3 linked regions of the Rattus norvegicus genome follow. The protein of the gene in region 3 interacts with the protein of the main gene of each other region in a pairwise test. Links are inferred from orthologs where the notes say so. Each region holds a gene or a part of one and is shown on either strand. Other genes may lie near its edges.

The links. The genes of interacting proteins can lie anywhere in the genome.
Region 1: the proteins of Washc3 (region 3) and Pbxip1 interact in binary tests that used the Homo sapiens proteins (3 or more experiments, as listed by UniProt). The two-hybrid records come from large-scale screens. The link is inferred for Rattus norvegicus from reciprocal best matches to the Homo sapiens genes WASHC3 and PBXIP1.
Region 2: the proteins of Washc3 (region 3) and Hsbp1 interact in binary tests that used the Homo sapiens proteins (3 or more experiments, as listed by UniProt). The two-hybrid records come from large-scale screens. The link is inferred for Rattus norvegicus from reciprocal best matches to the Homo sapiens genes WASHC3 and HSBP1.

Annotation. Positions count from the first base shown.
Region 1 is NC_086020.1:177,155,032-177,160,163, reverse strand, and holds the start of Pbxip1 (pre-B-cell leukemia transcription factor-interacting protein 1), read right to left. Parts: upstream 3,439-5,132; 5' UTR 3,404-3,438; coding exon 3,353-3,403; intron 1-3,352. UniProt on the Homo sapiens protein: Regulator of pre-B-cell leukemia transcription factors (BPXs) function. Inhibits the binding of PBX1-HOX complex to DNA and blocks the transcriptional activity of E2A-PBX1.
Region 2 is NC_086037.1:64,307,960-64,313,140, reverse strand, and holds the start of Hsbp1 (heat shock factor-binding protein 1), read right to left. Parts: upstream 3,439-5,181; 5' UTR 3,351-3,438; coding exon 3,306-3,350; intron 3,008-3,305; coding exon 2,941-3,007; intron 2,255-2,940; coding exon 2,136-2,254; 3' UTR 2,134-2,135; intron 1-2,133. UniProt on the Homo sapiens protein: Negative regulator of the heat shock response. Negatively affects HSF1 DNA-binding activity. May have a role in the suppression of the activation of the stress response during the aging process.
Region 3 is NC_086025.1:24,521,427-24,526,022, reverse strand, and holds part of Washc3 (WASH complex subunit 3), read right to left. Parts: intron 2,770-4,596; coding exon 2,662-2,769; intron 1-2,661. UniProt on the Homo sapiens protein: Acts as a component of the WASH core complex that functions as a nucleation-promoting factor (NPF) at the surface of endosomes, where it recruits and activates the Arp2/3 complex to induce actin polymerization, playing a key role in the fission of tubules that serve as transport intermediates during endosome sorting.

The sequences.
Region 1 (5,132 bases), on a different chromosome or scaffold from region 3:
ACCCACACATCCATCTTGAGTTCTCTGGCCTTTCCCATTGGCCTATGTGACCCCAACGGCCATTTCCCAGCAGCTACTGGCAGAGGCCCAACAACTGCCCCCAGCCACAGCCAGCCTGGCCCTTGGTGTTGGCTCACAGCCTGGTCCCGTGGGTATGTGGCAAGTGCTTTACCACTAAGCCATCTCCCCAACTTAAAAATATATATATTATTAGTGTGTGTGTGTGTGTGTGTGTGTGTGTGAGAGAGAGAGAGAGAGAGAGAGAGAGAGAGAGAGAGAGAGAGACTCTCTACATAGTCCTGGCTATCCTAGAACTCACTATGTAGATGAGGTTGGCCTCAGGCTCACAGAGCTCCATCCGCCTCCTCTGTCTCCTGACAGCTGGGATTAGAGGTGTGCACTCCATACCTGGCTTAGACTGACTTTTGACCTCAGTATGCTGTTTGGCAATTTACAAATCACGTTTATTTTTCTCAGGTTACCCCTGCAAGGCAAGGATCACAAGGCTGGTTTATAGTAAAGGATGAGCAGGTGAAATATTGGCCCAGGTCCCCTGCTGTCAGCAAAGGCACCATGACAGGAGACCAGGCCCCACTGAGCACAGGGCCTATCTTACTCCCCACCATTGGGCACTGGTCCTTGTAGTCTACTCTAGGGTCACTGCTGAGGTCAATTCCTCACCTCCTTCCCCTGTTGGTCGGTCTCCTAAAGGGCACCTCAAACCCAGCAAGTCTAAATGGAGTTCTGTGGCTTCTTTAGCTACCGATTTTTATTTGTTCCTTTATGATACAAGGTCTCATGTATCCCAAAACTTGCTATGTAGCCAAGGATAACCCTGACCTGATCCTCCAGCCTCCATCTCCCAATTAGCATGATCGCAGCTTTTGCTCCACTCTGTCCAGCTCCTCCTAGTAGTTTTATTTTTTTCTTTTTTTTTCGGAGCTGGGGACCGAACCCAGGGCCTTGCGCTCCCTAGGCAAGTGCTCTACCGCTGAGCTAAATCCCCAGCCCCTTCCTCCTAGTAGTTCTAAGGAAGCCTGAGATCCTTCGACCCTTCCTGTCATCCCTCTCTAGCCAATCCCCGTACCAGCAGCCCTCCTGTCTCCTGCCCTAACCTGGGAGCTGTAGGAGCTCTGAAAGCACTGTCCCTGTCCTCACCCAGCCACACAGAGGCTTGGTCCCCTGCCAATGACACTGAATGTTAGGCTACTCTCCAACTCAGCAGCCCTGCACTGTCTACTCATCAGATGACACATGTGCTGGCTAATTTTGTGTCAACCTGACACAGGCTCAAGTCATCTGAGAGGCAAGAACCCCAGCTGGGAAAATGTCTTCATAAGATCAGGCTGGGGTTGGGGATTTAGCTCAGTGGTAGAGCGCTTGCCTAGGAAGCGCAAGGCCCTGGGTTTGGTCCCCAGCTCCGGAAAAAAAAGAACCAAAAAAAAAAAAAAAAAAAAAAAAAAAATCAGGCTGTAGCCAGTCTATAGAGCATTTTCTTTCTTTTTTTTTTCCCCCTTTTTTCCTTTCTTTTTTTTTCAGTATTTTTTATTGCATTTTTAATTTACATTTTAAATGTTATCCCATTTCTCTGTTTCCCCTCCATAAACCTGCTATCCCCCCACCCCCCCACCCTGCTTCTATGAGGGTGCTCCCTCACCTACCTACCCGCTCCCTCCCACCTCCCTGCCCTGACATTCCCCTACACTGGGGCATCAGTCTTGACAGGGTCAGGGCCTCTCCTCCCACTGATGCCTGGCAAGGCCATCCTCTGCTACAGATGTGGATGGAGCCATAGGTCCATCCCTGTGTTCTCTTGGGACGGTGGGTTAGTCCCTGGGAGCTCTGGGGTGGAGGTCTGGTTGGTTGATAGTGTGTTCTTCTTATGGGGTTGCAAACCCCATCAGCTACTTCAGTCCTTTCTCTAACTCCTCCAATAGGGACCCTGTTCTCAGTTCAATGGTTGGCTGCGAGCATCCACCTCAGTTATTTGTCAGGCTCTGGCAGAGCCTCTCAGGAGACAGCTATATCAGGCTCCTGTCAGCAAGCACTACTTGGCATCTACCATACTGTCTGGGTTTGGTGGCTGTATATGGGATGCATCCCCATGTGGGGCAGTCCCTGGATGGCCTTTCAGTTTCTGCTCCACACTTTGTCTCCATATTTCCTCCTGTGAGTATTTCTGTTCCCCCTTCTAAGGACTGAAGCATCCACACTTCTGTCTTCCTTCTTGAGCTTCACGTGGTTTGTGAATTATATCTTGGATATTCCAATACAGAGCATTTTCTTAATTAATGATTGATGGGGGAGGACCCATCCCATTGTGGGTGGTGCCGTCCCTGGGCTAGTGGCTCTGGGTTCTAGGAGAAAGCAGGCTGAGAAGCCATGGAGAGCAAAGCAGTGAGCAGCATCCCTCCAGGGGTACATCAGCTCTGGCCTCCAAGGTCCTGCCCTGTCTGAGTTTCTGATCTGACTTCCTTCCCTCAGTGATGGATTGTTACCTGGGGTATAGGCTGAAATAAACCCTTTCATCCCAAGTTGCTTTGGTCATGGTGTTTCATCACCCTCGAAGAGGCCCTTCCAAAATGGTGTATAGCAGGTCTTCCCCTGATCCTAAGGCTCTTCAGTCTCAACACGGCTCCCCTTTGTCACCTCACGACCCTACTCTTGCTGGGGTTACACCAGAAGTCCCTCTCTGCTTCTCTCAGCCTACCTATCTGGTCCCTTCTTCCCAGATTAGCCCAAGCCCCACACCAGAGCTCTGTGCCAGATCTCCTCCCTCCTCTGGAGCCTCAGGAGAGCCAACAGGGACTCTGCCATGACCATCCGGACTAAGAAAACAGGACAGATCCAGAAAGCAGTGTGGGCAGCCAGGACAACCCAAGACTGATCAAAGGACAAAGGAAACTTTAGTTCTGTGTCCCTGTTCATGAACAGACTTGGCAATGCTTGTCTAGGACTAGAGCCAGTGTCTTGAAGGCGTCAAGGTTGCAGTTTCTGGTGATTTGACTCTTTCCCCTAGACTGTGGTTATCAATCCCAAGGCAGCGGTGTCTGAGGTACCCTGTGTTCTTTGCCAACACCGTCTGATTTAGCTTGCTGCTGACCTTGGCCATCTCCCTGTAAATTGTATGTACGACGCTGTACTTCTGAACAAGCTCATTTCGCGGCAGTCATCCACTGTGTGAGACCTCTTGGTCCCAGATACTGTGTCCATCTTCTTCAGTCCCTAATCCCTGGTGCTCTCACGCAACACCTTGCTCTTCTGGACACTCATTCCTGCAGGTTCCAGTCAAAGCAGTCCACCCCTGTAGGAATCCCCTCTCCCATGGAGTTCCCAGGCCCACTCTTCCTACCTCAGAGCCAGCAAGCACCCAGCTATTATCTGAGTCCGGGCAGGAGGCCATAGTTGTGGAGGTCCAGTGCAGCTAGAGTGGCCGCCTGCAGAGAAAAAAGCTCTCTTAAGAATGGAGTTCCTGGGCATGGAGGCCTACACTTTTCATCCCAGTGGCTCTTTGAGTGTGATGCCAGAGTAAGTTCCGGATAGTCAGGGTAATGCAGATGAATTTTGTTTCAAAGACGCAACCAAAAAAGAAGAAAGAGGAAGGAAGAAGGAAGAAAAAGAAGAAAGAAGAGGAGGAGGAAAAGGAGGAGGGGAGGATAAAGAGGAGGAAGAGGGAGAGGAGGAGGAAGGGGGAGGAGGAGGAAGAGGGGAAGGAGGAAAAAGAGGGAGGAGGGGGAGGAAGAGGAGCAAGAGGGGGGAGGAGGAAGAGGGGGATGAGGAAGAAGAGGAAGAGGGAGGAGGAGGGGAGGGGGAGAGGGAGGGGGAGGGGAGCTTCCTTCAGGAGAGGCAGACAGCGGCAGCAGGATTCCAGGCATCAAAAGATGTGCAATCTCCTCAGAAACCCAGGCTGGTCCCAGTCCTTCTGCCCTGCACCCCACAGCTTTCCTGGCCGTGTTCACCTTAACAAAAGTCACAGAGAAGCTACCTCATTCAAGGATCCATAGGGCCTTGGGAAACTGCACTGGCCTTAAAAATTCAAAGAAGACAAGGGTTGAAAAGTCCAGCCCCTGGTGTTCTGGCCAGGAAGGAGGAATCTCACAGGCTGACTGAATAAAGAGAGACCTGGGTCCTCCATAGTCCCCAGTGTCCTCCCACAGAGCCCAAAGAGAAGCCTACCAACCTCCTTAAGGCCTAAGTGTCCCAGTACCCATCCACCATCAGTCCTCCATGCACTTGGTTCAGTGCAGCACTTTCTCAATCTGTGAGTCGACACCCCACAGGGCTTACATGTCAGATGTCCTGCATATCAGACATTTACATTAGGATTCATGACAGTAGCAGTGTCACAGTTATGAAGTAGCAATGAAATAATTTTATAGTTGGTGGTCACCACAAGGGACTGTATTAAAGGGTCACAGTGTTAGGAAGGTTGGGAACCACTGGTTTTGGGGTTCTCAGCACTAGCTGTGCAGGGCTCGGCTAGGATCGCCACTGAAGTGAGCAGGATCAGGTCAGGCAGGAAGCCTTCTAACACTGCAGGGCCCAGTGGTCCACCTGGGTCTCTCTCAACCTTAAAGTCTAGAGAGTTTGATCTCAGGGATCTTAAAAGTAATTGGGGAGAAGGGGAGGGGTGGCAATTACCATCAATAAATCACATTAAAGTCTGCAAAATGGGAGGGGGCAAAACTGGGTCTCTGATCTTGTCCCTTGCTAATCATCTTGGAGGGCAGCTGGGGTTAAGGTATCGCCCCCCACTTCCAAAGACCAGCGTGAAGCAAGGCTGTGCTAGGGAAGTGCAACTGGGATCAAGCAAGAGGATGGAGTGACAGACAGCTGACCCACAGAGTCCTGGACTGTGATTCAGACACAGGTATGTGACTGCTTCCCCAGTGGCATAATGTAGAATTTGACTGTACCAGTCAAAGGCTCCCCATCTACTCCAGCTGGGTTTAAGTCCTGTTTGATTACCTTAAAAAATCCTGTGGCTCTTGTTGGTCAAGATTCAAGCCCAAGATAGGTAAAGGACATCTAGTGGCATCTTCCTCAATGCTCATGTCTCCTAGACACCGGCACCCATCCCACACAGGGACAGAACAATTGCAATGACTTCCCTATACCAAGTCCCAAAAAAA
Region 2 (5,181 bases), on a different chromosome or scaffold from region 3:
AAGACGATGATCAGCACCAAGGGGAGCGCGGAGGGCACAGCAGAGCCAGCTCCTCCCCACTATAAGAAAAGATGCCAGGACGCCATCCGCTCGGCCACCCATTCTTCATGCACACTAGCCTAGAGAATCCCATTTACTTGTAAATCTTAAAAAGATGCCACTGTAAATTAGAAGTTTGTGTATGGGTCTGGGCATCCCTGTGTGGGTTTGTGCCGGGGAGTGCAAGTCCTTGTGGAGGCCCACAGAGGGTGCCAATCCTTTGGAGGTGGAGTTGCAGAGTGGTGAGCGGCCTCAAGGGACAGCTGGGAACCGCCCTGGGGTCCATTACGAGCGCATACCAGCTCTAGCACTGAGCCATGTCCCCAGTCTGTTACTCAGACAGCTTTCTTCCGAGTTCTGACTCCGCCTCCCGTTTTCACTTCCTTCTTTGTGTTTCGCCATCAGTCCAACGTCTTCAACCCTACAATCTTCTGTTCTTGACTAATGGGATTTTTCCACCACAACACAGCACAGCTCCCCAGCAGCTCCCAGACCCCCTGTCCACAGTGCAGCTCCTCTGTGGACAGGACTATGATATACTACATAACTCATAGCGAGGGAGCCACGCGTGCTGGTCGTTATCTGACCTTCCCAACCCCAAACAGTCTCTTGGATTTCAGAACAACCTCTATTTCAGTCACTGAAAAGCTGTTCCGGCCCACGCCCAGAAAGTAAGAAGGGGGCTAAGAATCATCCATTATATATTATCTTGATATTCTCACACAAAATCCTTGATAAACGTCATCTAAGACGACACAGATGGTATGTAAGATCCCAATATTTGAGGCAGAGGCAAATCAGGTGGAGCGCTTTTGAGTTTGAGGCCATCCTGGTCTGTAGAGCAAGTTCTAGGCCAACAAGGCAGGGTTGCATAATAAGAGTGCCTCAGGGCTGGAGAGGTGGCTCAGTGGTTAAGAGCACCAACTGCTCTCCCAGAGGTCCTGAGTTCAAATCCCAGCAACCACATGGTGGCTCACAACCATCTGCAATGAGATCTGATTCCCTCTTCTGGTATGTTTGTACTTATATATAATAAATAAATCTTTTAAAGAAATTATGTCTCAAAAAAAAAAAAAAAAGAGAGGGGGGTTGTTGGTCTCTCCTCCAACAAACCCAGGTGCAGGGTATAAGGAAGAAATTCACCACACTGGATGGTTTTAAAGACATCAACTCGGGGTTGGGGATTTAGCTCAGTGGTAGAGTGCTTGCCTAGCAAGCGCAAGGCCCTGGGTTCAGTCCCCAGCTCCGAAAAAAAAAAAAAAAAAAAGGAAAGACTCTACAATAAAAGTCACACACACACACAAACATACAAACACACACACACACACACACGCCTGTAGAACTTAAGATATATACTCATGAAGGTGGCTTGAATTCTCTATTTCCAAAAACAAAACAATGAGATAATCTTTCAGTGATCAGGGCAGAGCACCAAACATCCCCCCCAAAACCTCCCCCCCCACTGCCCCAAATGCCACCACCCAGTGGTCCTCAGTGAGCTGCTTACCAGCCAGACAGGGGCCCAAGTCCCAGGAATGTCCAGGGCAGTGCCTAGGGTCGAGTGAGGCCATCACAAACTGTCCACTTACTTAAAATGAACCCGTCAAGGGGCTACACGTGGCTCAGCAGTTGAGAGCACTTTTGCTCTTGGAGAGGACCTAGGTTTGGTTCCCAGCACCCACGTGGTGGCAAGCTCTGTCTCTAACTCCAGTACCAGGGGATCTGATGCCTTCTTCCCGCCTCCCATAGCATGGGGTACATATGCTGGCAAAACACTCATATTTGACTAAATCTTTAAAAGAAAAAAGTATTTTGTCTTTTGCTGTCGATTTCCTTCTTTCCAGGTGTGAGCCTCATAGCTGACATCACTGTGTTGTGACGAGTAAGGTTCGCACCTGCCTGGCACGATACAGTTAAGTTTGAATACAACTTGGAAATGTGAATTCCACCCAAGGAATCTGTTTGGCATGGGAACATGTCGAAACCTGGGAGTCCCTGGGAGGGGTGGAGGGAGATGACTGCTGGGTAGCGACACAGAGATCCCATTTCCGGACCACTCTCTGTGTTTATGCTAAGGCACCCCTGCTCTCTCACCTTCAACTCTTCTGGGCAGTAGGAATCTTGTTCTCAGCGTCCAGTTCTTCTACTCCAGCCTGGGTCATGAGGTCAGCGATATTTTTCTCCAGGTCATCGATTCGGCTGCTCATGTCATCGAGTGGTGCAGTTAAAGAGCCCACCCACCAGACCAGCAACACCTCACCTCTGTCTCTCCCCTCCAGGTCCCTGCAGACTGGTTTAAGCAGCTGCTTTCCCAGTTTCATCCGGCTACAGTGACAGCCCGGCAGTCAGGGGTCCAGGGGACTGGGCTGAGTTCTCTACCCTATGCCTCAGTTTCTTCAACCCTTAATCCCAGAGGACCCCGTTTCCTGTTGGTAAGGTTACAAAGAGAATTGGAGGGTGGAGGGCTCCATGAGCACTCCCAGCCAATGGTTACCAAGTAAACCCCTTTACTGGTGTTCTGGAGGGCCCCCAACAGGGGCTTGGGTAGTCAGCTGTGTCTCTGGATCTTGACACGGTTCTCCATGGGGACACAACATAGCCAAGATCAGTAAAGACATTTCTAAGTGGGGCTGGAGAAATGGCTCAGTGGTTAGGAACACTCGAGGCTCTTTCAGGGGACTTCCCAGTATGCACATTGGGCAGCTCACAACCGCCTGTTACTCCAGTTCCAGGGGATCCAACGCCTCTGGTCTCAGTCACTCCCAGTACCCCCTTATACATATAATTAAAAATAATGAACTCTCTGGAAAAAGGCAATTTCTAGATGACTAATTATAGTCTGTTTGTAAACCACCCGCTCATCCCCACAGTTAAGAAACTGCCTCCAAGTCAAAAGGATATTCCTTCCGATGATCTGATCCGACATAATCTGAAACTTGTCTTGCATCTGCTGCAAGAGCGTCTCCACCTGAGAGAAAAACCAGAACAAGTCAGCCGTTTCCAGCCTATTCAGAGATCCCCTTCCTGGGACGTGAGTGGGGAGGCGAGGGCGCGGGCTATGGGGGCTCCCGGCTGGTGTGCGAGGCCTTCCGCAAGGGCCTGCCCGGTCGGTTCCGTGTCCCTGCGGGTCAGGTCGGGAGGGTCCGGGCCAGGGCCGAGGGGAGGGCGAGCCTCGCAGGTGTGCGGGCCGAGGCCGCTGGCCACACCCCAGGCCAGGGCGGAAAGCAGACCCGGAGTATCCGGGCCCATGTGAGGATGCGGCTTACCACCAAGGTGATGTCCTGCATTGTCTTGGGGTCCGTCTCGGCCATCTCTCCGGTGCCCAGCTTGGCGGCGATGTCTCGGAACCGTCACCTAGACTTCGGTTTCTTGGCGCAGACGCCCACAAGCCGACAGTTCTCGCGACAACAGTCACGGGGGTCGCGAGGCATTATGGGTGTTGTAGTTTCCGTCACGCATCGGAAGGTCCTAGGAGGCTTCAGAGCGTCCTGTCTGCGGATAAGCTACGCCCACCCAGTTCTTAGCTCCGCCTCCATCCCCTGCCCAGCTCCACCCTGCAGGCTGCACGGAGCGGAAGAGAAGGAAAAACACCGGAAATGGGCCAAAGTTATAGGGATTAGCGTTGGCCTCTTCCCTGGATGTTGTCAGACACCCAGGCCTTGCAAGACGAATCAGCGGGTGAAGAAGCGTCTGACACCAAGTCTGACAACTGTGAGTTCGATCCCTGTGACCCGCATGTTGGAAGAAGAAACTCAACTTTCACAAATTGATCTCTGCCCTGCGCATTGCTGTCACATGCATGCACACACTACACAGACACACAGACACACAGACACACAGACACACACACACACACAAAATAAGTAATTGTACTATTACTACTAAAAAACATTAGGTGGCTGGAGAGATGGCTCAGTGGTTAAGAGAATTCACTGCTCTTCCAGAGGTCCTGGGTTCATTTCCCAGCACCCACATGGTGCCTCAAAACTGCAACTCCAGTTCTAGGAGACCGACAACCTCACACAGACAGTCGTGCAGGCAAAACATTAATGTACATAAAATGAAAATAAATAAATTATAAGAACGGAACAACCCCCAGACCCGGAACATTAAAGTTTGAGGGTACACTGGCAGGATGCCCCTTTTCACCAAGAACCCAGTTTTATATTCTAGAAGACATGGGCCAGGAGGATTCTGAATTGAGTTCAAGGCCTGCCTGGGTAAACCTAGCGAGACCCTGTTTCTCAGAACCAAAACAAAAACCTAACGAGCTAAAGGAGGAGGTAATGAAATGTACCCAGGGGCTAAACACATGCCCTGCATAAAAAGTCCAGCACCAAATAAACAAAACAAGCTCAGATAATCTCCCTGCCACCTGGATGGGGCGCAGCACAGCAGACCCAGCTTTGCGAGTGTTTTAGTGGGATGTAAGTACAGTCTGACCTGGCTTCTTTCTCTCAATGATATGACTGCCTGGTGCTAAGCTTGCAGGTTTCCATTTGTGTAGAAGAGGGGGCCGTGTCAGCAAACAGTGAACTGGGAGGCTTATGCCACAGGTGCGGACCTGAGTTGACAGGGCGCTGATGTTCAGATAGTACTTTCCAGGTTCCTTAGATGCGCTGAGTCATTTTTAGTGACATATGCCACTCACAGTGAAGGAAGCTGGGATAGAATACTGTGGTAATTTGAATAAAAATGGCCGCCATAGGCCCATAGGGACCGGAACTTCTATTAGGAGGTGTGGCCTTGTTGGAGTGGGTGTGGCTTCGTGGAAGGAGGTGTGTAACTAGTGGGCGGACTTTGAGGTCTCAGAAGTTCAAGGCTGGCCACTGTGTCGCTGTCATGTCCTGCTGCGTGGGGATCTGGATGTAGAACTCTCAGCTCTTTCTCCAGCACCATGTCTGCCTGCACGCTGCCTACCATGATGATAACGGACTAATCCTCTGAACTGTAAGCCAGTCCCAGTTAAATATTTTCCTTTATAAGAGTTGTTGTGGTTATGGTGTCTCTTCACAGCAATGAACAGAACAAAGGTGTTCTTTACACAAATGGACTGGGGAGGGAGGGATGTGTCTGAGTCTAGCAAACTAGTGAAGGCACTCGCTAGGATATAAGGTTGTCCCTCTCTACCTTGGGGCTGTT
Region 3 (4,596 bases):
TTCTAGGTATCTGCCAGCCACCCTACTGTCCCCCATTTATTAAACCATTATATTTTAAATGGGTATGCTGATTCTAAGTTTCTAGAAAGCAGTGCTCAGAGATTGCTTGGAGATAACAAGGTTGTCTGCTCATGTACATTTTGTGTTGAAGAGTGCTTATCAGTGGTAATAAAGTCAGCAGAGTGGCCAAAACACTCAATACTAGAGTCGGTGGCGATTTTAAATAATGGTCCTCCTGACACTGCACAGCACTGCGCAGTCACCCGAGCACAGGGACGCCCTGCCCTAGCTTAAGTGCGAAGTGCAGATTCATACAGCACACAATACCACAGCACTCGGCTTCTGTGCCAATCTGAACACTAGAATAAGCTGGCTTCTGTCACCCTCACTCGGCATTGGCACAACTGTCACAAGGAGTTTCTTCCACAGATGCCATTAGTTCATGTCAATATATCTATGCTAAGATGTAGACAAATTAATATTTTAAAAATCTGCAGTCCCATCAGAGCACAGTGGCACTCTCCTTTAACTCCAGTACTCGAGAGGCAGATGCCAGTGGATCTCTGAGTTCAAGGCCAGCCTGGTCTACAGAGCAAGTTCCAGCACAGCCAGGGCTACACAGTGAGAAATCCTGTCTCACAAAACAAACCAAAACAAAAAACCTGTAGTACTGAGAATATGAATCTAAGTTATGTTTGTATATTGAATTTTTCTAACAAAATGTATATGTAAGCCAAATCTTAAAAAAGAAAACAGAATTCTGTAGCAATAAAACAAACACAAATTCTTTAGGTTCTTATGCTAGGTAATATTGTTAAGTGTTACAAAGGAGAGTGAAAATACGTGAGTGTAAATATTCATCTGCAAACAGTTAACACAGAAGTCTGAGACATCATCACCCATGAACATAAGAGAGATAGATCCAGGTGCATTTCTAAACGTCTATGCGTGGCTCGTCCAAGCTCCGCAGAGCGAGTGAGAGCTCCGTCGGGTCTAGCAGTCGTCAGCTTCCAGCTGCTACTCTGTGCCTGGCAGGGTTTAATTACACGCCGGCATGCGTTCCTATGTGAACGGTCCATTAGGCATCATAATCCCTTCTCTCAACTGCCCTTCATTTCAGTCTCCAATTGATCTCAATCTGTACAACTGGATATTCTATGGCAAACGAAGACAGCATCTGAGTCATGAGAGTAAAGTTGTATGAATCAGAATGCACAGCTCAGGGCTGTGACTCACAGTTCAGAAGGAGTGATAAATGGGTGGTTTTGTTATTGTGTTGTGTTGAGGCAAAGATTTCTTGTAGATTGACCTCTAATTCACTATCTAGCCAGGGATGACCTTGAACTCCTGATTCTCCCGCACTCACCTCCCTCGGGCCAGGGCTATGCATGCATGTATATCAAACGTGCATAGCTGACTTGACTCATAACCATGAAAATCTTCATAAAGCAGTATTTAGTTCCTTCAAAGTATTCTATCTACTACATATATAAACATACGCACTGGCTTTTTGAGAATGGGTTTCTTTTCATAGCCTTGGCTGTCCTTGAACTTACTCAGCCCAGGCTGGCCTTAAACTAACAGAGATCCACCTGCCTCTGCCTCCCAAGTGCTAGGACTGCACCACCTGGCTCCAAAATACTTTATCTAAAACTACACTAGGTAATGTCGCCGAAGAAAACAAGAGGAGCCAATCTGAATGTTAACATGCCTTAGGTGTGTTTTTATTAGGCTGATCAGCACAACTGGATAAATCAGGAAGGCCACAGGAACTTCCAGATAGTCTAAACAAACTAATTTACAACTTAAAACTGTCAGACATACAAAAGATGATTCTGAATCTGCAAAGCCAATTAAGAAGTTCAGGTATGATTAACAGTAATAGGTATTTTGAGATCTGCAGGGGTCCGGTTCCAGACCCCAATACTGAAATCTGCTAGAATCTCCTATCTGAAGTGGCCTTGGTCTGAGTTTAGCTTACTCTAGATTACTTATGGTGTCTATGACAGTGGAAACAGTTGCACTGTTTAAGGACTAATGACGGAGTTCACGTTTGTTTACTAGAGATGCAAACTCTTTTTTTCTGAAATACTCTCAAGGTTGCCTAGGTGAATCCCGAGATGGGGAATCAGGCGCAGAAGAACAACTACCAGGGCCGGAGGGTTCTTCTGAGGAGTCACAATGTGTGAGTACATCCAGGTACAAACGGAAAATGTACCTACACAGGGTGACGACTTTGCTGATACTGTTCTAGTGGCTCACCACTTTGGTGGTTAATTTGTTTCATATTTTAGTACCTCACTGAGATGTATATACAATGGAGACTTTAAAATAAATAGTAAAAAACTTAAATGTACTGAAGCATAAAAAATATATGGCATAAAAGCTGACTATTTAGTGACTCTTATCATGATGTAGAATGCAGATTCAAACAAGTCAACCTCAAAATCTACATGTTTTTCAGTTCATTGAAATATATAGACTTTGGGTCTTGTTAATTTTGGTCTGATGTGTGTGTGTGTGTGTGTGTGTGTGTGTGTGTGTGTGTGTGTGCACTTTGTAGCTTAAAGTTTCATGATTTGACTACAACATTTTACATGTCTTTAGTGTCGGCTCCTGTTCAACCTTGATGTCCTGCAGTCTTGTAACTCGGATGCTTACCTGCAGTTGCTCAGCAGTGGTTTCAGAATGTGATCCATTTGTGACAGCAGTGACACTTAAAGGAGACATGTCAACTGTGACATCCTCTAGGCCTGGGATAGATGACAGCTGAGAAACGTGAATTAGTGTTGGCATATGCAAACAAAACTTTTGAACTGTGGATTCTTAGCTCCCTTAAATCTACAAAACTGTATAGGTTCAGAACGTTCATCCTACTTCCCATGCCGTATGTTAAAAGTGAAAAACATTCACTGTTCTTTGGGAGAGCCCCCCCCACCAAAGTTTAATTTATTTGATAACTCGTCTTTCCCTACAAAGTATTGCTCAGCCTACAGACTCCAGAGGATTGAAAACATGGGCTTTGGATTCTGACTGCCGAAGGGTACTAAAGTGCTAATATGTGGGTCACAGGCTCACCTTCCCACTTTTGTTACCTGTATAGGGGATGAGAACATTTTCCTTATAAAACTATTCTGAATATTTTTATTAAAAACACCTTGCTAATGAAAAGTACTCTGTGGCACACCATTCTCTTGCATGTGTGTCTGTGTGTGTAGCTCCTTGTTGGCTGCGTTTGCTGGGTCCTCCCTTCTCCAGTCTGAACTCAGTCTCTCAGGTACTTCACCAACTGAGTCACCTCCCTAGCCAATTTTAAGCTTTAATTGTACGAGAAGTGTCTTTACATTTTAACATATGATATAACTTGTTTTTCTCTCTTTAAACATTTATCCTTGAATATTACCTAAATATGTTCTCTTCATACACAACAAATGGACATATTGTCAACATTTCGGACTTAAATGGTAAACATTCAAAACAAAAAAGATAAGCATTTGGGTTAGTGTTATAAAAACTCTCCCTGCTTTTGTCCTGGTGCTACACGACACGTGTTTGTCAGCTGTTTGGCTGACTGTGGACACTGTACTATGGCCAGGGAAATGCTAAGGTTAGCTGGCCCACACAGAAACATTAACTTGTGTCCTTGGATGGCAGCACCTTAACATTCCCAACTGTTAAATAAGGTTCAGTCATGAGAAAGGGCATAAGAAAGAACTCCCCGATGATAGGATCTCGGGCAGCAAAAGTCATTGTGAAGTGCTGACTGACGACAGTGCTTAGCAAAGTGGCAGTGGCCCCAAAGTCACAAGTGGGTATAGTTGTGACTGACACAATGTCCCCAGCATGTTCAAGGCCAGGTGCTCTAAATTTCTATGCCAGAGAAATGTGATAAGGCAACAGACATACTTGCTGAAGTCCAGAGAGGGCAGAGAAAGTATACATACCTACCTTCACTTCCTTAGTGTAATGTGAGCATAAAAATTTCCACTCAAATATTCAGTAAATATTTTGATCAATTAGAAAACATGGCCACTGTACACTTTTATGGGGTTTCAGGGAAGGGAGGATAACAATTACAAAAATACTGTAGGATTAAACCCTCTACCTCACGAACAGGAAGAGCATGCATAGCATTACAAATTAAACCCAGCTAAAACTGAAAGTGCCCGTTAGTTATCAAAATCTCTAAGCTTTAAACACAAGTTATTTCCCCAAGTAACCTGGGACCTTCGGCTTGTTGCTTTGTTTTGTTTTTTCTTTCTTTCTTTTTTTAAAAAGAGACAGTCTCCCTCTCTGGATGGGTCAGGAGTCAGTCTCCCTCTCTGGATAGATCAGGCTGCCAGCAAGCTCATTATCCTCCTGCTTCAGCCTCCTGAGTACTAGGATTACCATCATGAACAAATGTACCCAGCTTCTCTGTAATTTGTGATTTTAAACTGGTATTCTTCCAATACTTTCATAACTTTCAATATGTATATATGAATAAAAATATCAGAGAGTGTCAATACATTTTACTCTGGAAACATTTAAGTTTTATTCCACTTGCTACATTACAAATAATTTTGAGTTTCCATTAAATAATGTGAACCACATAAC